Cricetulus griseus: one gene and its partners. The protein of the gene in region 3 purifies or fractionates together with the protein of the main gene of each other region. This does not show direct contact. Links are inferred from orthologs where the notes say so. Each region holds a gene or a part of one and is shown on either strand. Other genes may lie near its edges. The genes, in order: Iqcb1, Pnma2, Cep290, Cep97, Cep76 and Ccp110.

What was found.
Region 1: the proteins of Cep290 (region 3) and Iqcb1 purify together in Homo sapiens (co-immunoprecipitation; 8 studies listed by BioGRID and IntAct, counting the BioPlex papers as one, with this or other methods). This does not show direct contact. The link is inferred for Cricetulus griseus from reciprocal best matches to the Homo sapiens genes CEP290 and IQCB1.
Region 2: the proteins of Cep290 (region 3) and Pnma2 purify together in Homo sapiens (co-immunoprecipitation; 3 studies listed by BioGRID and IntAct, with this or other methods). This does not show direct contact. The link is inferred for Cricetulus griseus from reciprocal best matches to the Homo sapiens genes CEP290 and PNMA2.
Region 4: the proteins of Cep290 (region 3) and Cep97 purify together in Homo sapiens (co-immunoprecipitation; 4 studies listed by BioGRID and IntAct, with this or other methods). This does not show direct contact. The link is inferred for Cricetulus griseus from reciprocal best matches to the Homo sapiens genes CEP290 and CEP97.
Region 5: the proteins of Cep290 (region 3) and Cep76 purify together in Homo sapiens (co-immunoprecipitation; 5 studies listed by BioGRID and IntAct, with this or other methods). This does not show direct contact. The link is inferred for Cricetulus griseus from reciprocal best matches to the Homo sapiens genes CEP290 and CEP76.
Region 6: the proteins of Cep290 (region 3) and Ccp110 purify together in Homo sapiens (co-immunoprecipitation; 6 studies listed by BioGRID and IntAct, with this or other methods). This does not show direct contact. The link is inferred for Cricetulus griseus from reciprocal best matches to the Homo sapiens genes CEP290 and CCP110.

The regions. Positions count from the first base shown.
Region 1 is NC_048597.1:53,142,220-53,145,719, reverse strand, and holds part of Iqcb1 (IQ calmodulin-binding motif-containing protein 1), read left to right. Parts: intron 1-2,287; coding exon 2,288-2,387; intron 2,388-3,500. UniProt on the Homo sapiens protein: Involved in ciliogenesis. The function in an early step in cilia formation depends on its association with CEP290/NPHP6.
Region 2 is NW_023276807.1:221,896,187-221,899,254, forward strand, and holds Pnma2 (paraneoplastic antigen Ma2), read left to right. Parts: upstream 1-1,473; coding exon 1,474-2,568; downstream 2,569-3,068.
Region 3 is NW_023276806.1:166,062,361-166,066,416, reverse strand, and holds the start of Cep290 (centrosomal protein of 290 kDa), read right to left. Parts: upstream 2,801-4,056; 5' UTR 2,529-2,800; intron 2,313-2,528; exon of another isoform or gene 2,201-2,312; intron 2,005-2,200; 5' UTR 1,977-2,004; coding exon 1,875-1,976; intron 1,772-1,874; coding exon 1,694-1,771; intron 1,426-1,693; exon of another isoform or gene 1,383-1,425; coding exon of another isoform or gene 1,341-1,382; intron 807-1,340; coding exon 737-806; intron 5-736; coding exon 1-4. UniProt on the Homo sapiens protein: Involved in early and late steps in cilia formation. Its association with CCP110 is required for inhibition of primary cilia formation by CCP110.
Region 4 is NC_048597.1:36,122,897-36,127,152, reverse strand, and holds the start of Cep97 (centrosomal protein of 97 kDa), read right to left. Parts: upstream 2,801-4,256; 5' UTR 2,690-2,800; coding exon 2,647-2,689; intron 2,590-2,646; exon of another isoform or gene 1,712-2,589; intron 1-1,711. UniProt on the Homo sapiens protein: Acts as a key negative regulator of ciliogenesis in collaboration with CCP110 by capping the mother centriole thereby preventing cilia formation. Required for recruitment of CCP110 to the centrosome.
Region 5 is NC_048595.1:171,781,427-171,784,926, reverse strand, and holds part of Cep76 (centrosomal protein of 76 kDa), read right to left. Parts: coding exon 3,396-3,500; intron 1,781-3,395; coding exon 1,592-1,780; intron 1-1,591. UniProt on the Homo sapiens protein: Centrosomal protein involved in regulation of centriole duplication. Required to limit centriole duplication to once per cell cycle by preventing centriole reduplication.
Region 6 is NC_048596.1:81,879,961-81,883,460, forward strand, and holds part of Ccp110 (centriolar coiled-coil protein of 110 kDa), read right to left. Parts: intron 662-3,500; coding exon 560-661; intron 345-559; coding exon 228-344; intron 1-227.

The DNA of each region.
Region 1 (3,500 bases), on a different chromosome or scaffold from region 3:
GAAAATAAAATGGAAAAATAATTAGTGTTTTTTTTTTTTAATTTGAAACACAACCGTGTTCCATGGATCTTATTTGACTCTTTTTTTTTTTTTTTCTTGGTTTTTTCGAGACAGGGTTTCTCTGTGTAGCTTTGGAGCTTATCCTGGCACTCACTCTGGAGACCAGGCTGGCCTCAAACTCACAGAGATCCACCTGCCTCTGCCTCCTGAGTGCTGGGATTAAAGGCATGCGCCATCAATGCCCGGCTTATTTGACTCTTGACTGAAAGAGATTTAAAAATTCATAAAACACTTAAGTGGTTGGAATGGTTGTCTGGTTTCTTGATGAAATTAAGAGGTAATTTTCATTAAATGATATAATGATTATGCATTTTTGTTCATTAGTTCTTTTAGGCTATATATATGCATCTGTATATATTTATGTGTATTTGAAATGTTTATGAATAAAATAATCTGGTGTCTTAGATTTGTTTCAAACTAAAATGGAAGTAGATGGTATAGGTAAAACAAGTTTAGCCATGAATTGATTTTTAAAATTAATTAACTCATGAAGATTTATTACATTATCCTGTCTGCTTTTAAGTATGTTTGAAACTTTTATTGCAAAAATTTAAATAAATTATAGGCCCTTTTGTGAATGTGGTAATGGAGTAGGAATTACTGTACCAAGTACTCATCTACTTTGAAACTAAGGAATTACAAGGCAAACAGTATAAAAATAAGAGGCAGTAACTCCTTTATAGTTTTCAGTGGAGGAAAAGGAAAGTTTATGAACTAGATGCTGTATAATTTTAGTAAATTCCTGGATACTTCTAGAGTTATTAGTAAAATATGGCACACAAATAGAAGATACACTTGTTGTAGTTATTGGGAGCCCATTTCCTATGGAGGGATACTGCTGCAGGCCAGATACATCAAAGATGGCCTAGGCCCTCCCCCAAACAATATGATAGACTTTGAAGGTCCTTGGTGGAGGGCCTCACTATCTCTGGGGAGGAGTGAGGGGGAGTTGAGTGGGGAACATGGGAGGATGGGAGGACGAGGGAATGGGGGGATGCATATGTCAATATGAGTAGTAATTAAATAATTTAAATTAAAATGTAACAATGTAAAATATATAAGTATACTTTTTTCTAAATTGTTAAAAAGTATATATAGTGACTAATTGGACTATAAGTATAAATGAAGAATAGGAGTTGGTGTGAAAAAGAGCAAATCTGATCTTTCAGGAGATAGGAAAGGAAAGAATAAAGATATTTTTAGAAAAGCCAGGGTAGTCTTATCAGGGCAAGCTTGAAACATATCTGATCTCACTTTTAATTATTCTTGTGCTCAGCTGATGTAAGCAACAGAAACTGACATTTCTTGGGAACATAGTCTTTTCTGGTACATTATGCCTTAGTATAGTATGAGAATTATGTATTTCTAGTTTCACAGATGATGAAATGGAGATTGTGGGAGATTGTCTTAGTTAGGATTACTATTGTGCTTATCTGATGAGCAAAAGCAACTTGGGGAGGAAAGGTGTTTATTAGGCTTACACTTCCACATCACTGTTCATCATTGAAGGAAGTCAAGACAGGGACTCAAACAGGGCAGGAACCTGGAGGCAGGAGCCAGTGCAGAGTGCTGCATACTGGTTTGCTCCTTATGCCTTGCTAAATCTGCTTTCTAATAGAAGCCAGAACCACCAGCCCAGGGTTAGCCCCACCCACAATAGGCTGTCTTCCCATATCAATCACTGATTAAGAAAATGCCCTACAGTCTTGCTAACAGCCTGATCTTATGGAGGCATTTTCTCAATTGATGCTCCCTCTCTGACTCTAGCTTGTATCAAGTTGACATAAAATAGCCAGGACAGATGTAGCCAAGTTAGAGGTTAAGCAACTCATGTATGGACTGAGCACAAAATTTTTGTAACTGGCTAATCAGAGCCTGAAAATCAGAAACCTAAAAAAAATATTCGGTGTTTTATTATTTAGTTAATGAAACTCATTGCTAGAAAAAAAGATTCAGATTTAGGAGATGTTATGTTCAACTTAAAAGAAGTAATAACGAATTTTTAGCTTGGTATTTCTAGATGCCCCAATGACTCTAATTTCATAAAAATGGAATGACTCTTAACTTTATGGTCATTTAAAACTGCCTGTATCTATAAAACTATTTTAGGGTTTATAATGCCAAAAGTTTAGCACAAATGAGCATGCTTTGATTTGATTTAAAAAAGACAATCTTATTTAGGTTATTATAGAGTCTTTAACATTTCTTTTTCTCTCTGTTCTTTTAGTACTGCAGAGTGATCATTTCTTACACTTACTGCAAACTGACAATGTTCAAATAGGAGCTACAGTCATGTCTCTGCTACAGAATATACTGCAGATCAACAGGTGACTTAATTTACACAATTTTTAATCAGAAACATTACTAATTTTATTATAATTTGTCAATCTTTTACAGACAATGTGTACATGAAATTTAAGTTCTCTTCTGATTGACTTTTGGAAAAAGTTCATATAAAATACTGCAAGAGGTTAGAAATTTGTTATCAAATTGTTATCTCAGAGGGCTAGAAAATCTCAGGCTTAGAAGAAAGAATTGGAGTGATACCTAAAGAAAAATAGTAGGATCACAGTAAAATTAAACAGGGGAATTAGTCATTATTTCACTCAAGTATGGGTTTATTTATTGGCTACTGTGTGCCACAGTTACTCTGTTTCTCATTATATTTGCAATGCTTATTCAAATATAAATCTTGTCTTCAATGAGTGAATATTGAGACAGACATAGTTATATTTTTACATATTAATTTGCAGTGTTAAATTATCTACAAGTATTAAAAGTGCTTCTTACCCAAACTGAGTGAAAATGCATCCTAAAGAAATTAAAATCTGAGATGAAACTTCAAAATTGTATAGGGAGGATGAAGATAAAGCAGGAGAAAGAAAAAAGTAACAACATATGCAAAAGTCAGAGATAAGAAAGAAATATTATGCTGAGGGTAAAAAGTAGGGATGATTCATCTTGCTGGTATTTAAAGTTCAGTATTAGGTATGGCCAGCAAATTTTGAAGGGATTTACATTATAAAATATTGATATGCTATGTTAAGAAAACAATCATATTCTGTAGGAAATGGGGACCATTGAAGTTTTGGTTTTTTATTTTAAGTAGATGGATATGGTCTGATTACATTTCAGTTTTATTACTCTAGTTACTAATGGAGAGAAGATGAGAACAAAACTCTAATCCAGTGGTTCTCAACTTTCCTAATGCTGCAAGCCTTTAATATAGTTCCACATGTTGTGGTGACCCCCTTACCATACAATTATTTTATTGCTCCTTCATAACTGTAATTTTGCTACTGTTATGAATTGTAATGCAGATATCTGATATGCAGGAGAGCTGATATTCGACCCCTAATTACTGGGTCCAGCTGACGAATCTGTAATTTCTGAGAAGGGGAGTGTTGATTGAGGGAAGAAATAGACAAGAGACAGTAGAT
Region 2 (3,068 bases), on a different chromosome or scaffold from region 3:
GGTTGATAACTTAGCCGTGTAACACTCAAAGACAGCAAAGGAGGACTGATTCCTAACTTCACGGTGTGCTTGTTTTTCTGAGATTCAATTTTTCTTCATTATACCCATTAAAAATTATTTTGAAAGGTCTGAGTGATTCTACTTAGGTTTTTTTTATATATATCTTTTTCTTCTTTTGAGACGAGATTTCTTGGGGGTAGCCCAGATTGAGTTCAAACTTGGCACCCTCCTGCCTTATCTTCACAACAGTTGAGAGTGGCACCACACACAGTGCAGTTGTATTTGTTTTTAAGTATGATTCTCATGTAGCCCAGGCTGACCTCAAAGTCCCTATGAGGTCAAGAATGATCTTAAATTCCTGATCCTCCTGCCTCCACCTCCCAAGTGCTGGGAATACAGGCATGTACCACCATGCCCAGTTTATGTGGTGCTGGAAATTGAACTCCAGGCTTTGTTCACGTATGGTAGGCAAGCACTCTACAGACTGAGGAGTATACCCAGAACTAGGAGGTGTTTTTATTCAAAGTGCAGCAACTATCTTATTTAGGATGTTCTACTAAATTGTGCAGGACTGTCACTTTTTTCCCATCCTTTACTGAACCTTTATATTTTTAATAAGTGCATTCATCTTTATTACTAGATTTTAGGCCTAAAAACACATTGTTCATGTTTGTGTGTAACAGGACAGCTTGATTTGGATGAAGTTCAGACACACCCATACTATTGTACAGAGGTGGGAGACATCTTCCAGAGCTGGAAGCTGAATACATGCTCCTTGATTCTTGAGGAACATTCCGGAACACATAAACAGGTATTTAACTATGTCTCCTAATTTCATCTTTCGAATGGTGAAGGTCTTGAATCCCACCCACTGATGGGGCTTTGGGGTGGAGAGAAGGGGTTTAAGCTGCTCCCCTAGCCCTGAGTACAGTGAGCAAAGAAGGGGGTCCAACAGAGTGGGGTGGACAAAGGTGCAGTGGGAGTCATAGCCCTTGGTCCACCCCTAGCTCCATTCCAAACCACAGTGTGGGTGTGTCCTGGGAAGTAGAGGTCTGCGTAGTAAAAACAAACCTCTGTTTCCGTAGGCGTCCTCACCATCTCGCTGTGTGACGACTTTCCAGAGTTTTGGGTGCTAGAGTGAAAACCACCTCCTCATTGACTGTAGAGACAAAGTGACAGAAACCGGGAGAGGCTGGGTCGAGCAGTCATTCCAGGTGCTTCACAGTGACAAGAGTCAGCACCACACAGCTGCCTGAGGCTCTCAGAAACGGCAGCAAACCCACTGCAGAGCCACGGGGCTGGTAACTGCAGCCTACCCTGTCCACCCAGCAACCTTGCCGTGGGTCCGAAGACACACAGGAAGTGCCTGGTTCTTGACACTGAGTAAAAGGACAGAGCGTTGGTCCGCAAGGCTCTGAGCTACTTGGGAAGTGAGCCAGGCAGGCACTGTGTGCAGAAGCATACCCTAGGGCGATGGCAGTGGCACTGTTGGAGGAGTGGTGCAAGATAATGAGTGTGAGCGATCAGAAGTCACTGATGGTGACTGGCATACCAGCCGACTGTGGTGAGCCTGAGATCCAGGCAGTCCTTCAGGAGGCGCTCAAGTGTGTGGGCAACTACCGCCTGCTAGGCAAGATATTCCAGAAGCAAGACAACACGAATGCTGTCTTACTAGAACTCGTGGAGGACACAGATATGTCTGTGGTCCCCAGTGAGGTGCAGGGGAAAGGAGGTGTCTGGAAAGTGATCTTTAAGACCCCTAACCAGGACAGTGAGTTTCTCCAGAGATTGAACCTTTTTCTAGAAAAAGAAGGCCAGACCATTGCAGGGATGTTCCGAGCCCTGAAGCAGGAGGGAGTGTCTCCAGCTACCCCAACCTGCACATCCCCTGAGTTACTGGCCCACTTGGTGGGGCAGGCAATGGCTCAAGCTCCAAGGCCTCTGCAGCCTGTGAGGTACTGTAAGTTGCGAGTATTCTCTGGGAACACAGTACCTGCCCCGGAGGAGGAGTCCTTCGAGATCTGGTTGGAACAGGCTACTGAGATAGCCAAAGAGTGGCCCATCCCAGAGGCAGAAAAGAAAAAGTGGATGATGGAGAGCCTCCGCGGCCCTGCCCTGGACCTCATGCACATCGTACAGGGAGACAACCCATCCATCAGTGTGGAAGAGTGTCTGGAAGCCTTTAAGCAGGTGTTTGGGAGCCTGGAGAGCCGTAGGAGCTCGCAGGTAAGATACCTAAAGACCTATCAGCAAGAAGGGGAGAAAATCTCAGCCTACGTGCTCCGGCTGGAAACTCTGCTCCGAAGAGCCGTGGAAAAACGGGCTATTCCCCGAAACATTGCTGACCAGGTACGCCTGGAGCAGGTCATGGCCGGGGCCAACCTCACCAATGTTCTATGGTGCCGGTTACGGGAGCTGAAGGATCAGGGCCCACTACCCACCTTTTTGGAGCTGATGAAGGTGATACGGGAGGAAGAAGAAGAAGAGGCCTACTTTGAACATGAGAGCAGGGAGGAGCCAGGGGAACGAGAGGGCTATGGCCGCTGGGACAATTCGAGGAACAACTGAGAGACACCCCTACTCCTGTCACCCCCTGGTGAGCATAGGGACAGTGCTTGATGAGGCTAATCCTATTACAGTGGAATTTTTCTCTAATACACAGGATTGAAGTCAAGCATTAGAACCAGATATTTTCTTTTTTCTTTTGTTTTGACAGGGTTTCAACTTATAGCCCAGGCTGGCCTTGACTTGCACTTTTCCTGCCTCAGGACTCCCAAGTTGAGTTCTGGGATTAGAGGAGTATACCATCACTAGCACCCCATCTCAACTTTTCTTTCTGAGAAAAAAAAAAATGCCTAGACTCTGAGTAGAGTGGTTTGGTGGACTCTTAAGCAGAGTGTAACTGAATACAAGACTAAAGGAACCCTAACATTCCAAACTAACCAAAACGTAAGAGTTAATCCAGTTGGGTAGGTCCATCACCTGGCTAATGGACTGCCCACCAGGAAGGCAGATTCATCTAACTCCATGCTAAAGACAGGGGAGGAATAATTATCCCCTTAATGAGA
Region 3 (4,056 bases):
TTTTCTATTAAAAAAATACAAATGTTTCAATTGTTAAATTTCCTGTAATCAGATTTTAAGTGGATGTCAATAAAATAGTACAACATATCAAGTCCAGGGAACAGGCATTCTAGAAATATCTTGACCTGAGTGAGTGAAGTCTTGAGTCTGGGCAAAGCCATGTCAGGAACTCCCAAGCCTCAGAACTATGGCAGATGGCAGAGCCTTCCCATGTCTGAATGTGGATGTTGACAGTGTGTGCAGAAAATGTCAACCACAGCTTTCATCTCCCCTGATGCTCATGGCAGAATCTACTCCTTTCTTCCCCCTGATGCTCAGGCTTCCCTACAGTCTGCTCCTACTGAGATTAGCTCGATCTGCCTCCTTGTTCAACTGTGTACAGAAACCCCACCTCCTAACTTATCTGTAGGTGTCACCTGACTTCATGTTCAGCTATAGGCAACAACCCCGCCTCTCTTCAAGTGTACATAATAACAACACTGAGCTTCTGGGGTGCTGCAGATTCTCCATCAGAGAGCCTAGTCCACCCGAACCCAACTTTTCTTTGTGTCTTTGTGCTGTCTTCACCCTCTTGCCACATTAGTCGGGTCAGTCCCTGAAACGGTGCAAGGACGAAGCATCTTTCAACATGAATTGAGTATGTATTTCATAGAATATGATAAATTAATTTTGTACTGACTAATAAATAATAGAATCACAACAGTTTTTTTTTTTTTTTTTTTTACAAGACATGTACCAAATTTTGCTTGTTCTTCTCCAGCCTTTTCAACTTCTTCCAAAGCTAGCTCTACTTCTTGGGCTTTCATCTAAATATGAAAATGAGAGAGGAAATCTGTATTACTTACACTGTAATATAAACAGTGAAAATGCAAATTTTGTTTCATTTGCTATATCAGTCTTTAGTGTGTACAACAGCTAGCACAGAGACACTCAGTGAATATTTGCAGAATAAATACTTAACCTATAAATTCTGGAATAGCAATTTGAATCATCTCTGATTTTTCCTTTAGGTTTTATAACCACTATTTTAAATGTTTTTCATTATTTTTTACCTATTTCAATTGTTATTATTCTGGTACATAATTTTATTTGTTAAGTCCTTGTTACAACTGGAGCCTCTCAGCTCCAATCCCCTTCAATCTGTACACATCTGTAACACATCTAATTTTGCCTTCTTAAGCACATTTCTGTATCTGTCAATTATGATTCAAAACCTTTATTTGATCCTAAACTGCTAATAACAAAAAATACAGCCTCAAACCCTCAGATAGTATATCCCAAATTACCAACCCAATATCTGTTTGTCCACAGCCTGCAACAGATTTGCTGCATGCACTTACCCTAATGTAAAGAGCAAGTACATATCCTTTCTCATTATTCATTGGTGATGAATTTAGAATCTTCTTTCCATTTCACCATTACCTTCTAGAGGAGACATTGTGCATTTTTACTTGAACCTCTGTTTATATTTGTTACTTTTAAAAAAGCACTCATTTTCCCCTATACACTCTCCAAGAATTTTTAGAATAGTAACTATATTTGCTACACATATTACAACCCACAGCCTTTAAATCTACACTTAACTCATTTTTGAGGGGTGACACAGGCATTCCAAATATTTCCATAAAGATTAGCTTACATAGAAATACATTCTTACATTTCCTATACTGTTAAATATCTCCAGCATACAAACCTTCATCAGTGACTGAGTAATTCTGAATAGATGTACCACGTTTTCTTGATCTTCATCTTTTAGTTCATTTACTTCCACCTAAGGAAACAAAAAATGGATTATTTCATACCCTGTAGTTGTAGGAAGCAATTTCACTTTATCGCATTGTAAGTGTCTATGTACAAATTATTCATTAAAGCACCTTGGATAAGGAAATCAATAAATTATCTGCCAGCTCTTCTTGGCGTGGAAGGTCATCTGGATCAACTTTGATTAATTCTTTCCAGTTTATGCTAGGTGGCATCTTGAATTCTTTCACTGTTTTTCAGCTCCTACAAGGTGACAGGTGGGTTTTAGCATTTCCAAGGAAAATGGCATTGCAGTGTTTACATTATCATTCAAACTCTCTGGGTATTGGCAAAAAGCTATGGCTCCTGAACCGCAAAACAGATGCATGGGCAAACAGCCTTGATGAGAGTCAATCCACCCGGCACAGATTATCCGATAATGTACACGTTAAATTATTACTTGTTTGCTAAAACGAAGTCCTGAGATCCCGAGTCTCCTCTTCCAAGCTCCCTACCATCAACGATGATACCAACTCCCAGGATGTTTGGAAGTTTGAAAACGTCCTCCGATTCTGAGAAGGGGCGAGAGAAATTTAATTTTATTTTTTTAAGTGTACAAATAAAGACTTAACTGGACGAAGTGCGCGAGGAAGCAAGCGGAATCAAAAGGCTGGGAACTGCGGACAGGAGAACAGAAGGGTCGGGTAGGCAGACTGCACACTGTCCCCGAGGATTAGGAACCTGTGAAAGACACTAAGCTGCTGCGGGCTCACCGGGAATCCACCCACCTAAACCGAACCTTGCAACCTGCGGCAGTCGCTCATCTACAGCGACCACCACCGCGGTTTCGGCCGCCGCCGGGGCGTCTCTTCCAAGAGCAGTCCTCGCGCACTCCCGCTCCCGCCAACTCTTCCTCCTGCCCAAGCCAAAGCGGTGGCCGCTGCTAGGCGACACCACTCCCCCGCCCAGCCAAGGCCGGAACTAGGGCCCGGATACTGCGGGCGACTACATTTCACGACGATAAAGGCTTTACGGCTGCACTTCCCCCTTATTCTGGCCTTATTCTGGATGAGGGCAAAGTCATGCGGACGACTCTACATCCCAGAGTGCACTTCGGCAGTGCGGGTGTGCATTCTGGGACTAGAAGTCTTCGTGTGGGGGGGGGAGAGAGAGAGAGAGAAAAAGAGAGCAGCGAGTTCCCGGCGTGCAACGCGGGAAACTGCGGCCGCCGCGGAGAAGCTGGGGAAGGCTTGGGAGGCGGGAGGCGCGGCGGCGGCGGCTGAGGCGCGGCCGCCCTGGGGGCGCTGGCGTGAGGACTATGACAGTGTTTTCCGCGGAGTCCCTCTCCGGTCCACCGTTCCGGAAGCTTCCCTGAACCATCGCCCGGCTGACCCGCCTTCAGGTGAGGTCGGGGTCAGCGGCCGGGAGGAGATCCAGGGAGCACTGGGGCTTTGGGGACGCTCTGGCTTGGGGGGGGCTGCAGGGCCGGCGGGATCCGCCCTCCGCTCAGGTGTGTGCTGGGGGTTCCCAGTGAGTGACTTCCGCGAGAAGGAAGTAGAAACAAAAGTTTCCTGTTTCCCTGGGATCTAACCTGTGCTTCGGGGAAGTGGAGCTGGGCCCCCCCACCCCCAGCTCACGGTCAGGGGTGCGGGGAGCATCGCGGGGGGCGGGGGGGGGACAGGGGAGCAGGCTCTCGGCCCGCCCGCCCCGTGCAGCAGCTTGAGGATTGTAGCCCTTAATTAGGTTGTGAAGTGTGGAGTGAAGGCCGGAGAAAGGGAGCCCTGCAGTTGGGGGGGGGGGGTGGCGGGGGTCCACGTCAAGTTCAGGCATTCTGCTGTCATTTGCTGGGTACCAGTGGGGGGACTCTTAGGCGAAAGCGCTTTCTCGCTTGGGCAACTTTTGCCCACTCCACAGCTGTTGTACACCAACAGGTAACTTAGGAAGGTGTAGGCTATTTAAAACAGTGTGTCTCGTTTACACAGGCGCGCACACAGGCAGTAATTCAAAGAAAAACTGTAGACACTTAAAATTTGCTTTTGAAAAAATTTCTGTACAAAACGTGTGGTTGAGAAAAACAAGAAATAGCTCAGTAAAAAATGGTATTTGGAACAAATATTCAAGACATTAATCAGATTTGTAGGACTGATGACCATGTTTGTTTTTTTCCAAATACTGTTCAATTTCTGGATTATTCTTGATAAGAGGTATAGCAAAATGAGTGCTTACATTGTCCTTGTTCTCCATCTAAGAGATTGGAGAAGCTAAACACTGTTTTCTTTCCACAGCCATTCTAGAAACTGGTATTTGTGAAATAGG
Region 4 (4,256 bases), on a different chromosome or scaffold from region 3:
TAGTGCTTTCATAGCAAGTACTATAACCCACTGAGCCATCTCTGTGGCCCTCACTTTGAGGCAGGGTCTCTTGCTGGCCTGGAACTCATCAAATAGGGTAGGCTGGTTGGCCAGCAAGCCCCAAGGATCTGCCTGTATCCATCTTTTTCTCAGCACGGACTAAGATTACAAGCTCTTGCTGCCAAAAGTTCCCTTGGGTTTGGAGGATTGAACCTGGGTCCACACACTCGCACAGCAAGGACTACACCAACTAAACTATCTCCCCAGTCACTTCTGAATATTTTGAAGATCAAAGTATAGTTAACTAAACTATAGAATAAAATGATTCTCTGATTTCTCAAGGTTGGTGTGAAGCCAAACAATTCACACACAGCCTCAGACCTGGCAGGCAATGCTCAATAAAGCACAGCAGCATGAATTCCAACTATAGCTGTGGTTAACCACTATGGACAAGTTTCCTTCTCTTTTTCTCCTTCATTTTTTCAGTTGGAAAGCTCCCCAAATTAAGGTGTTGCCAAGTTTGGTAACTGAGACCCTTTCTCCTAGAGGCTGGCTACCTCCTCACTGTGTCCTCCAATGTCTTTCCTCTATAGGTGCAAATCGCTGAGTTAACTTTCCTACTCTATGAATTGTGGATGACAATTAACCAGCCATAGTGGTGCATGCCTTTAATTCAGCACTTGGGAAGCAGAGAAACCTGGTCTATATAGTGAGTTCCAGGACAGCCAGAGAGATCCTGTCTTGAAAAAAAAAAAAAAGAAAAAAGAAAAAAGTCATACAGTGGTGGCGCAGGGCTTTAATCTCAGCACTCCAAGAGGCAGAATCATCTCTGTGAGTTCGAAGCTAGTCTAGTCTACAGATCCAGTTCCAGGATAGTCAGGGACTACACAAAGAAATCGTCTCAAACATAAAAGGGGACAGGGGATGAGGCTGAGCCACTTGTGGTAATACACATCTTTAATTTTAGCACTGGGGAGGCAAAGGCAGGAGGATTTCTGTGAGTTTTAGGCCAGTCACAACTACATAATGAGATCCTGTCTTGAGGGAAAAAAATGTGAGAATACAATATAAATATTTTCTACATGAAAACTTGAGATAATATAAGAAAAGTGCTCAAAATATCATCTGGCTTTTAAAAAGTGGCTCTGTGATGAGCACAGGGGTCCAGACCAGGCTTGTGAAACCCACAGAAACAGCTGACCTGAACATCAGGGAGCTCTTGGTCCCCAGTCTGATAGCTGGGATAGTGGGTTTCAGTGAGGAGACCTCAGAAATCTACGGGACCTCCTGTAGTAGATCAGTACTTATCCCTAGCATAAGAATGGACTTTGGGAGCCCATTCCACATAGAGGGATACTCCCTGAGCCAAGACACACGGGGATGGGCCTAGGGCCCTAACCCAAAGGATATGATAGACTCTGGTGACACCCTATGGAAGGCCTCACCCTCCCTGGGGAGCAGAAAGGATATGTGATAGGTAGGGTTTCAGTTGGGGGAGGGGTGGTAGGGGAGGAGGGGAGGGAGAGGGAACTGGGATTGACATGTAAAACAATCTTGTTTCTAATTCAAATTTTTAAAAATGCTGTAAAAAAAAATTGCTCTGTAAATACTAGAGGCTGCTCTCGTCTGTTGTCTTGGAGGGCTAGAGAGTTTTAGGAAAGGCAGCGACCATAGTGGGCGGGGCCAGAGTAACTGCCAATTTCAAATTTACCATCAGACTAGGATACCCTGGGAAATAAATTTTTCGGAACTCTCTTCTAGAAGGTTTCAAAGTTTTTTTCAGTTTTCTTAGCACGGGAGATGTCGTGAGCCGCTTCTTGAAAGATGAAAACTATGCTGTCGCAGAAAAGCGCACCCAGCGTTTGCACACAGTTCCGAAAGGTCGACACATCTTTTAGCCGAACTCCTCCCCTCAAAAATTCAGGGTCCCCAGGTTATGAGCCCCGACTCTATCCCTGTCTGCCCCAATCCAGCCAGCGGCTACCACGCCTCAGAGTGTAACCAAAACAAAAGCTCAGGTCCGGCGCCCCACGGAGGCATCTTCCAGCCACAGGCGCACCCCTCGCCTGCGCTCTGCTAAACAAAGACCAAACTCGACCCCGGGACCCGGCCTGCAGAATGACGGGGGAGCAACGGGTGTCCCGGTCACCCCCAGATTCTACCACGGGTACTGGCCACTTCCAAGGAAGAGTTCAGGCAGACTGTGATGCGGTGGTATCAGATAAGATGCTTCCTGAACGTTCTCGGAACCGATGGGGGAGGGGACAGAGGAAAGAAAGAGACTCTGCCAATTTCCCGTGGGCACTCGGAACTCAAAGTAAACGTCCCAGAAAGGTCGCCGCAGTCCGGAGCCCACTGCCCAGTCAGACTAGGGAGAGCGCGGGACGGGGGCGCCGGGCACCGCGAAGGCTCCTGGGGGCTGAAGTCCCTCATCCAGCCGCCTTCACCGCATGCTGCCAAACCGGACCTGAGAGCGGGACTACAACTCCCAGTAGGTAATGCGCCTCCGCGCTGCCTACAGCCCCGTATCAAAAGAACTGGTCCAAAACTGCACCTCGAAACCCAGGCTTCCTCTTTACACTAAGCAACTATTTAATATGATTTAGTGAAGTAAACTTTGGAGTTCAGGGATGGGAATCGTCCTACCTTCTCCCGGAGCCAGAGCCCCGTCGGCTCGCGCTACCGCCATAGTTGCTGCTTGCTAATGACACCAGCAACCGTCCTCAGCCGTTCTGTAGACTATGTAGTCAGAGGTGGGAAACTGCAAACTACAACTCCCAGGATGCACAGCACTCAGTCGGCCCAATCGGCTGCCTGATGGGAATCACAGGCTAGAAAGTGAGTGTAGTTTAGAAAAAAAAAAAAAAGAGCTTAGGAGACCTTGATAGGTGAGCAAGCTGCATTGTTAGATGAATCTTTTCACTCCAGGGCCAGGTGTTTGAGAAATCTGACACTTTTACCACCTGGCACATTATAAGGATGTTATTTAAAGTAAACAATTTGAGAGCTCTTTGCTAGAAGTCTCTATGACAGCTACCCATTTTGGCAATTCTGAGTTAAGTTTAAAAGATTTGAGATTCGCTATAGGAATGACTAAATATTTTGAGACAGTCAAAATGGACACATTGTATTTGAAATTTCACCTAACTAAATGGTTTTAAAGCTTCAGAAACAGTTGTTACACATTCAACAGAGCTTTTGACTAAGGACTATATTTGATACGTAAGTGCACAGAACTTTTTCTTGAGTGTTCAAAAGTAGTCTAAAATAGCTTCCAAAGTTAAGAATACTTACTTTGCCCAGTTAGAAGGGCACAAGCTTATCCTGTTTTGATTTAACTATGAACTCAGTATGATAGGTAGTGGAAATTACAATATTTGGGAAAGTTAAGCTAGGATTTAAAAGGTAGCTCCGTAGCTCAAAGGGAGCTCTCCCTTTTTTCACCAGCTTGTCTACACACTGACTGCCAGGCTTGCCAAAAGGGCACTGTACAAAGTCTGGGCATTTCTGTTGAGGAAAATCCAGTAACTCAGGCTTCCAGCACTTCTGGTTCATGATTCTAAAAGCATTTTCTCTTCCCTGTATTCCTTTTTCGTTGACATCATTGCCCTTAAAGAACTTTTCTGTTTCCCATTGGTTCAGTCTAAAGATAATTTAATTCTGAAGAAAGAATAAGGATTCCCCTTCTTTTTAACCAAGAGACCCTTTTCTTGGAAAACAGTCTTATTACTTTACATGTATAAATACAAAGCAAGCCAGGCATGGTAGCCCAAACCTTTCATCCCAGCACTGGCAGGCGAGGGGGAGGGCGACAGGGGCAGGCAAATCTGTGAGTTGAAGGTCAGCTTGATCTACTTGGTGAGTTTCAGGGCAGCCAGAGCTACATGACAGAGAAACTCTAGCTCAAAAATGAATTGGCATCTCAGGCAGCTGTGAGCTACCTACCATGTGGGTGCTGGGAACCCAAACCCAATCCTCTTCAAGAGCAAGTAATCTTAATCACCAAGTCATCTCTCTATCCCTACAGATTTTCTTGTTTTTTAAGTAATTTATTTTTTTATGTGCATTGTTGTTTTGCCTACAGTTTTGTCTGATCTTGGAGTTACAGACAGTTGTGAGCTGCCATGTGGGTGCTGAGAGTTGAACTCGGGTCCTCTGGAAGAACAGTCAATGCTCTTAACTGCTGAGCCATCTCTCCAGCCCCAGATTTTCTTTTAATCTCTAGCAAAATCATGTGGCAGCTCTGACAGGACTTC
Region 5 (3,500 bases), on a different chromosome or scaffold from region 3:
GAAGTTTTTTATGAGTTGCAATTTAATTTTTTTTTTCTTTTGGATACATACTAAATTTGGAAACCTTTAGAAATAAGGTGTGTAGAAAGCATTCGTTGGCTGAGTTTGTTTTGGGTGTTTGGCAGTAAGGTGAATGCCTTTAATGCCAGTACTCAGGGACAGAAGCAGGTGGATCTCTTGTGAGTTTGAGGCCAGCCTGGTCTACAGAGTAAGTTCCAGGCCAGCCAAGACTAGACAGAGAAACCCTGTCTCAAAAACATCACAAAATAAAAAACAAAAACAAAAAACTAACCTTTCCAATTGATAAATCAACCTGTCATTCAAATGTTTCTGCTGTTACATGAACTGTCCTTTGTGACTATATACTCTATTTACATAACCATGAACACAATTACTACAAAACAGCAGCAGATTAAAGAAACTTGTCTTTTCCAGTTTCACTGACAATAAATGTTAAAAACAGTCTTACTTGCTCACTATACTAGCAACATTTTTAGAGTTTAGAAGATTAGGATCATCCTATATAAGTCAAATTATTGAAATCATTAAAAGTTTAATATCAGGAGCTGGAGAGATAGTGCAGCAGTTAAGAGCATTGGCTGCCATTCCAGAGGACCTGGGTTTCCCAGCACCAACAAGGTGGCTCACAATCCCAACTTCACTTCCAGGGGATTTGGTACCCTCTTCTGGCATCTGTAAGTACTGCATACATGTCATGAACAGAAAAACATGTACTCAAAACACCAATGTACATAAAATAAAATACAATTTTCTCATAAAGTTTAATATCAAACTTATAGAAGTTATTAAATTCTGTTTAAAACTAAAGAAAAATGATTATCATGAAATCCAATAATTATTCTCATAATTATTCTGTTTATAAATTTTTGTTCTTTTGTTTGTTGTTGTTTTGGTTTTTTTTTTTTTTTTTTTTTTTTTTTTTTTGAGATAGGGTTTCTCTGTGTAGCCCTGGCTGTTTTGGAACTCATTCTGTAGTCCAAGCTGACCAAGAACTCACAAGAGATCTGCCTGATTCTGCCTCCCAAGTGCTGGGATTAAAGACCTGCACACCACAATCCACCTAAGATTTTTGGTGGGTTTTTTGTTTGTTTGTTTTGAGATACAGTCACACTATGTAGCCTTGGCTTGACCTGGAGCTTGCTATGTTCGCTATACCGGTCTCACAGTCACAGAGAACCACCTGCCTTTGTGCACTACCACATCCAGATGTTCTGTTTTTGAGACAAGATCTTGCTATACAGCACAGACTGGCCTGGAGCTTTCTGTATCCAGACTAGCCTTGAAATCCATGATCTTTTGCCCCAACCTCCCAAGTGTTGTGGTTACATGAGACAACATATTCAGCTCTATGAGTTTGTTTCTATCAGAATAACATTCTATTAGATAAGAAATTACAAAAATAAAGATGGTAAGTGTTAAGTGCTGATATGTAATGTTACAGATAATAGTAAGATTTGTCTTGTTCAGATTGATAATACATACATTTTCAAGGAAATTCTCTTATAAGTATGCTATAAATTAAAAAAACTTATGATAATGAATACTGCTATTAGTTATGTCTATTTGATACCTTGTTTCTACAGAGAAAAGCCAGCAGAGTGCACCACTGCTCCTGTTTGCCACCTCCTCCAATAACAGGGGCTCGTTCGTAACCCAGGACGTTAACAAATCGTGCTGCTTGCCTCGGAGTATCCAGAAGCCGTCCAGCTCGAAGAGGTTTAACATAGGAACAGACTGGTCTATTTATCCCGTTCTCATCCTGGAGGAAGAAGGGGAAAACATTATTTGCAACAACAAGCTAATCATCCCAAGTGTCACATCTATTATTCTGTAGATAATTCTGGACGACATTTATTGAGTGTGCATCTAGCACTAGGCTACTAAGGGCTGACTAACATCTTTTAAGTTCTCATAAGGCCTATTTTATTCTCATTTCATAAATGAAATAAACTATAGCAGTTATATAATGGAGACAGATTTTGTTTTCTTTTGTTTCTCAAGACACGGTTTATCAGTATAGCCCTGGCTGTTCTGGAATCACTCTGTAGACCAGGCTGACGTCAAACTCATAGATCACCTGCCTCTGTCTCCTGAGTACTGGGATCAAAGGCATACACTAGAGCCAGGATTTTTAAAGTCTAAGCTGTCTGACTCCAAAGCTTGTGGGAGTTAAGAGCTGCTCTGAAAAAGGGTTAGCAGATAGACAAGGGAAGGGCAGAGCATCTAAATCTAAACCAAAGTAATCTTCCATATTACCACACAGAACTTTATATCTAGACAAAAGAAATTTTTTGTTTGTTTTGTTTTTTGAGACAGGGTTTCTTTGTGTAGCTTTGGCTTTATTTCTAGATAGGAAGAGTCCTAAATTAGGACTCTTATTCCCTAGCTTCCTATCTAGAAATGAAGCCACCTGTAGTTTGTCCCAATGATTAGGGAATGTAGATATATACACACACACACGAATGCATACATCTGAGACACTTATGTCATAATCTAACACTGTACAGAAACTGAACATATATAAACTATTTGATCTATTCCTCAGAATCTATACCTATATACTAAGTAGAAACTATACTTTAAATTTTGATCTCTAGACTAGTAATATGTAGCATGTAGTATTTCTTGCTGCTGAGCAACCACAGCTCTACTGTGTCACCTGACTGAAAAGGTAAACAACTGATATCCCTTAGTGTATTATGTTGCTAAGCCTTAACAGGGCAGGTCAGCAGTATTAAAATGGCATTTTCAACCTAACGACATGTTCATAAACATAAGACTGCATCTTGAGTCAAGGTGCATCTGTAGCTGAAATTGTGCAGTTAAACATCCCTGGTCACTGGTTTAGAAATACTGGTTTTTACACAATTAATGCACATGTTGTAAAAATATTTTATATTATTTTTACCACTGTGTCTATATGATGTGTCTGTGACCATGTGGCCCAGCACATCTGTGAAGGTCAGAGAACAGCTTTGTGGAGTTGGTTCTCTCCTTCTACCTTCGGATGAGTTCCAGGGATTGAACTCAGGTTGTGAGTTTACACAGCCAATGTTTCACTCTGAGACATCTCAATGGCACAATACTGTTTTTCCACCTTTTTTTTGTAAAAAATAACAGACACACTGTATGTCCAGGGTTCAATTTGCATATAAGCCATAAAGTATCCAAATGTTTAATCAATTTTAAGTATCATAAAAAAGTATATTCCAAACTAACAAAGATTGTATTATGCCATTGACCTAGCCAATAAAAGATAACTATTTTAGAAATAAACATTCATTTGTGAAATGAAAATATTTTTCAAATGAAAAGTATTTACAGTACTACAGTGTAAATATAGGGTTGAAGCTTTTCTAACATAATACACAAACCTGTGCAAAAATCTTTACCAGCCGTGAGTTGTGTGAGGGTCGAATTTGCAAATACTCTCTCCACCACTGCTTAGCATAGACCAGAAATAATCGTTCTTTCTCTGC
Region 6 (3,500 bases), on a different chromosome or scaffold from region 3:
TGAGCTACCAGAACAAAATGGTCAAGTGGTCAAGGCTTAGCCCTCAAATCCAATCCCACTGCAGTAAAGGGTTCTTTACTATAGTTCCTATGGGGCTCACCACAGAGCTTGGTGGTGCTAGGAATCCTGGGGATTATCTGGCTTCAGAAATACTGGGAATGACACAGAGCCTCCCTCCCCAGAGCTCATAAAAGCCCCTTCATCAGAAAGCCACATGGCATACATACCATCTGCCGGAGCAGTTTCTCTTTACGGGCCTCTCGATCATGATGGAGGATTGACATTCTCTCAGCTGCATCCATTACGAAGAAGATGTCATGAATACCATACAAGGCAGCTCTCAACTAAGAAGAAAATCATGTCTGTATTTAAAAGGTGAGACTACAATTTAGTAGTACATGCATACTGTGTGCACATCTTACATTTAGAATAAGAGAGAACAGGAGTTTTCACTAAAACGCATTTTCCCTGGTTAAATGAAGAAGTACATTTCCAATCCTGAATCTCCAGTTAGGAGCTGACCAATGTCCTGGGAACCCTTCAGGACAGAAGCATCTACCTGAGCTAACACTCGTTCCTGAAGGGAAGCATCTTGGGCTGAGACAACACCTCTCTTCAGCGGGGCTTCTGACTGAAAGCTTCGTATGAATTCCATAGTGTCCTGAAAGAAAGAGACGCTCCTTCAAAAGCAGTTTTCTAGGAAGATTTATAATTGCTGTAGTTTCCTTTTATTCTCTTTTGCCATCAGAAATTACTTAGAGCACAAAACAATTACTGATGACACAGCAAGCAGCCCCTATACTCCACCCTGTCTCCCTACCTCCTCCTGTGGTGGTTTTTAAGGCTTCTCCTGCCCAGAATGCTGAGACTGCAAACATGAAGCTATGCTGTAGGCAGCCTTCTGCATCCTCTCCATAAGGGAAGACCACCTGACTTAGTCAGATGGTCTAAACCATCTTAGCAGTCACTTGAACACCCATCATTAATTTACATGTGGTATCCAGGCACCCTAACAGCCTATCTGTGAGAGCATTTGTTTGTTACAATGAATGTCAGATTTGAAGAATCTATAAATTCTGATGCTGATGAAGAGGAAGGCAGTGGCAATGACCTTGACCATATTGCTGAATTTGATTTGTACATAGTGTTAAATCAGGCCTGGAGGCAATACTCATTGCAATATGAGATGCTGCAAAAGAAGATAATCAATGAGGAGGAATGTGAAGAGGAAGCACACGAACATGGATGGGGCCAGCCCTACAGCTATAACCCATGGGTGACTTCCCATTTAGCAAAGCCAAGCAGAGGCGTGCTATCTTGGCTGTGAGCAGCACAGCTGGGACTAGACAGCAGATGTGCTGTGAGGTTCTGGGGTGGGATGGGGCAGATAAACAATTGCTGGGCAGTTTGTGCATGCCAGTGACGAGTGAAATGACCTGTGCTGCTTTAAGACTGCTCATGCTTTAAGACACACATCTGTGATCCAACACTTGAGAGGTTGAAGCAGGAGGACTGCCATGAGTTTGAGGCCAGCCTGGGCTAGAGTGAGAGTCTGTCTCTAAAAATAAATAAGCACTTTGTAGAAGAGAATGAAGGCCTCACCCACTCAGGAGTGGAAGATTAAAGTCCTTTTCTAAAACTCGTTCATACCAGCTCACTCCTTCTTGAGAGGCATCAAGTTGTCACCAACAGAAGAAATGATAACCCTTATTCACAAAGATGACTCAACCAGAAGGTATCTGTAGTTTATCACACAAAAAGGTTTTCTGTCTGAAGGTCCCCTATGGGCAGGTCTACCAGCCCTGCCTTTACTGTGTGAGTATTCCGTGTGCCAGAGGCTGGTGTGGTGAACTGCACAGGACCATAAGAGGTGAAGGGACCAGATGGTAATAAGACAGGGAAAAGCTGGGAAATGCCAACTGAGGGCCTAAGACTACCCTCAGTTCTAAAGGCCTGACACCTCAGGGGGGTCCCACCTCTATTATTCTCCACAGGGATGCCACAGGAGTCTTCTACTAATCCAGTGCCCAGATTAGTTAACTCACGCATCTCCATGAGCCTCTTGGCAGATGCATCCACATGCCCTGCCTCTGGTACAGCGCTCAGACTCACTTTGCTCCCCATGTCCAGGTGCAGCCCACCCTGCTGTGGCCTCTTAAAGTGGAGGCTTTCATTTCCCACCTCTCAGACTTGTTTTCTATAATGGAACAAGTGAAACTGGGAGAAAGTTCTCAAAGTAGTTGAAATAATTAAAATTGTTTTACCTTTGCACTAGCTTACCACATAAACCTAAGTCTTCTATATCAATATGCTCTTGTTCTTTCTTTAAAAAGGTTTATTTTGCTGGGCAGTGGTGGTTCATGCCTTTAATCCCAGCACTGGGGAGGCAGAAGCAGGTGGATCTCTAAGAGTTCAAGGTCAGCCTGGTCTACAGAGTGAGGTCCAGGACTGGCTCCAAAGCTACAGAGAAACCCTGTCCTAAAAATTAAAAACAAAAAAAGATTTATTTTTATATGCATGAGTGTTTTGCCTTCACGTGCACATGTGTGTAATATGCATGATGTCCAGAAGAGGGCATCAGAACTTCCCGGAAACAGGAGTTAAAGGCTGTTGTGAACAACCAGGTGTACGCTGGGAACTTAATCCCGGTCTTCTGAAGGAACAGCCAGTGCTCCTAACTGATGAACCATCTCTCCAGTCTCATTAAAAAAAAAAAAAAAAAAAAAGTAGTGCTTGGCAGTGGTGCTGCATGCTTTTAATCTCAGCACTCAGGAAGCAGAGGCAGGGGAATGTCTGAGTTCAAGGCCAGCATGGTCTACAAAGTGAATTCCAGGACAGCCAGCGCTACATAAAGAAAGCCTGTCTCAAAAAGCATAACAAAAAGTGGTTTGGGGTATTTTTGTTTTGTTTTTTAATGTGTACGACAGAGCATGTGCATAGGTTAGGGAACAGTCTTGGTGGCAGATACCTTTGCCCACTGAGCCATCTTAAATATATTAATTATACATATTTGGGGTTTCAATATAACACTTTCATACATGTCCAAACATTTCTCTTATCACACCCCTGTCACCCTCTGGTGGCCCATCTCCTCCTACCAATCCCCTCTCCCTTTCCTCATTAGCACCTCTCCTACTTTCATGCCTTGTTGTTTTGGTGGCCCAAGGAGTTCATTAGGGCTGCTTAAAAGAGCATGGGCACCCTACCAGTGGCTGCACCAGGAGAAGAATGCCTCTCCCTCTCCACCAACCATTAATTGTACAAATCTTCAAGGAGGAGCAGAGCCCCACAAGCCCCTCCCATCTTCATGGCAGGGTATTGGTGGAACTAAACTTATGTACATTTTATGCAAATAATCACAATAGCAAATTCAGGAATGCAGAAGGGACTGTGAGATGGCTCAGAGGATACAAGTCCTATACAAGGATAAGATCTGAGTTCAAAGCTCCTGCTTCCATGAAAAAAGCCAGGTATAATCATGTGTCCTGCAACTCCAGTGC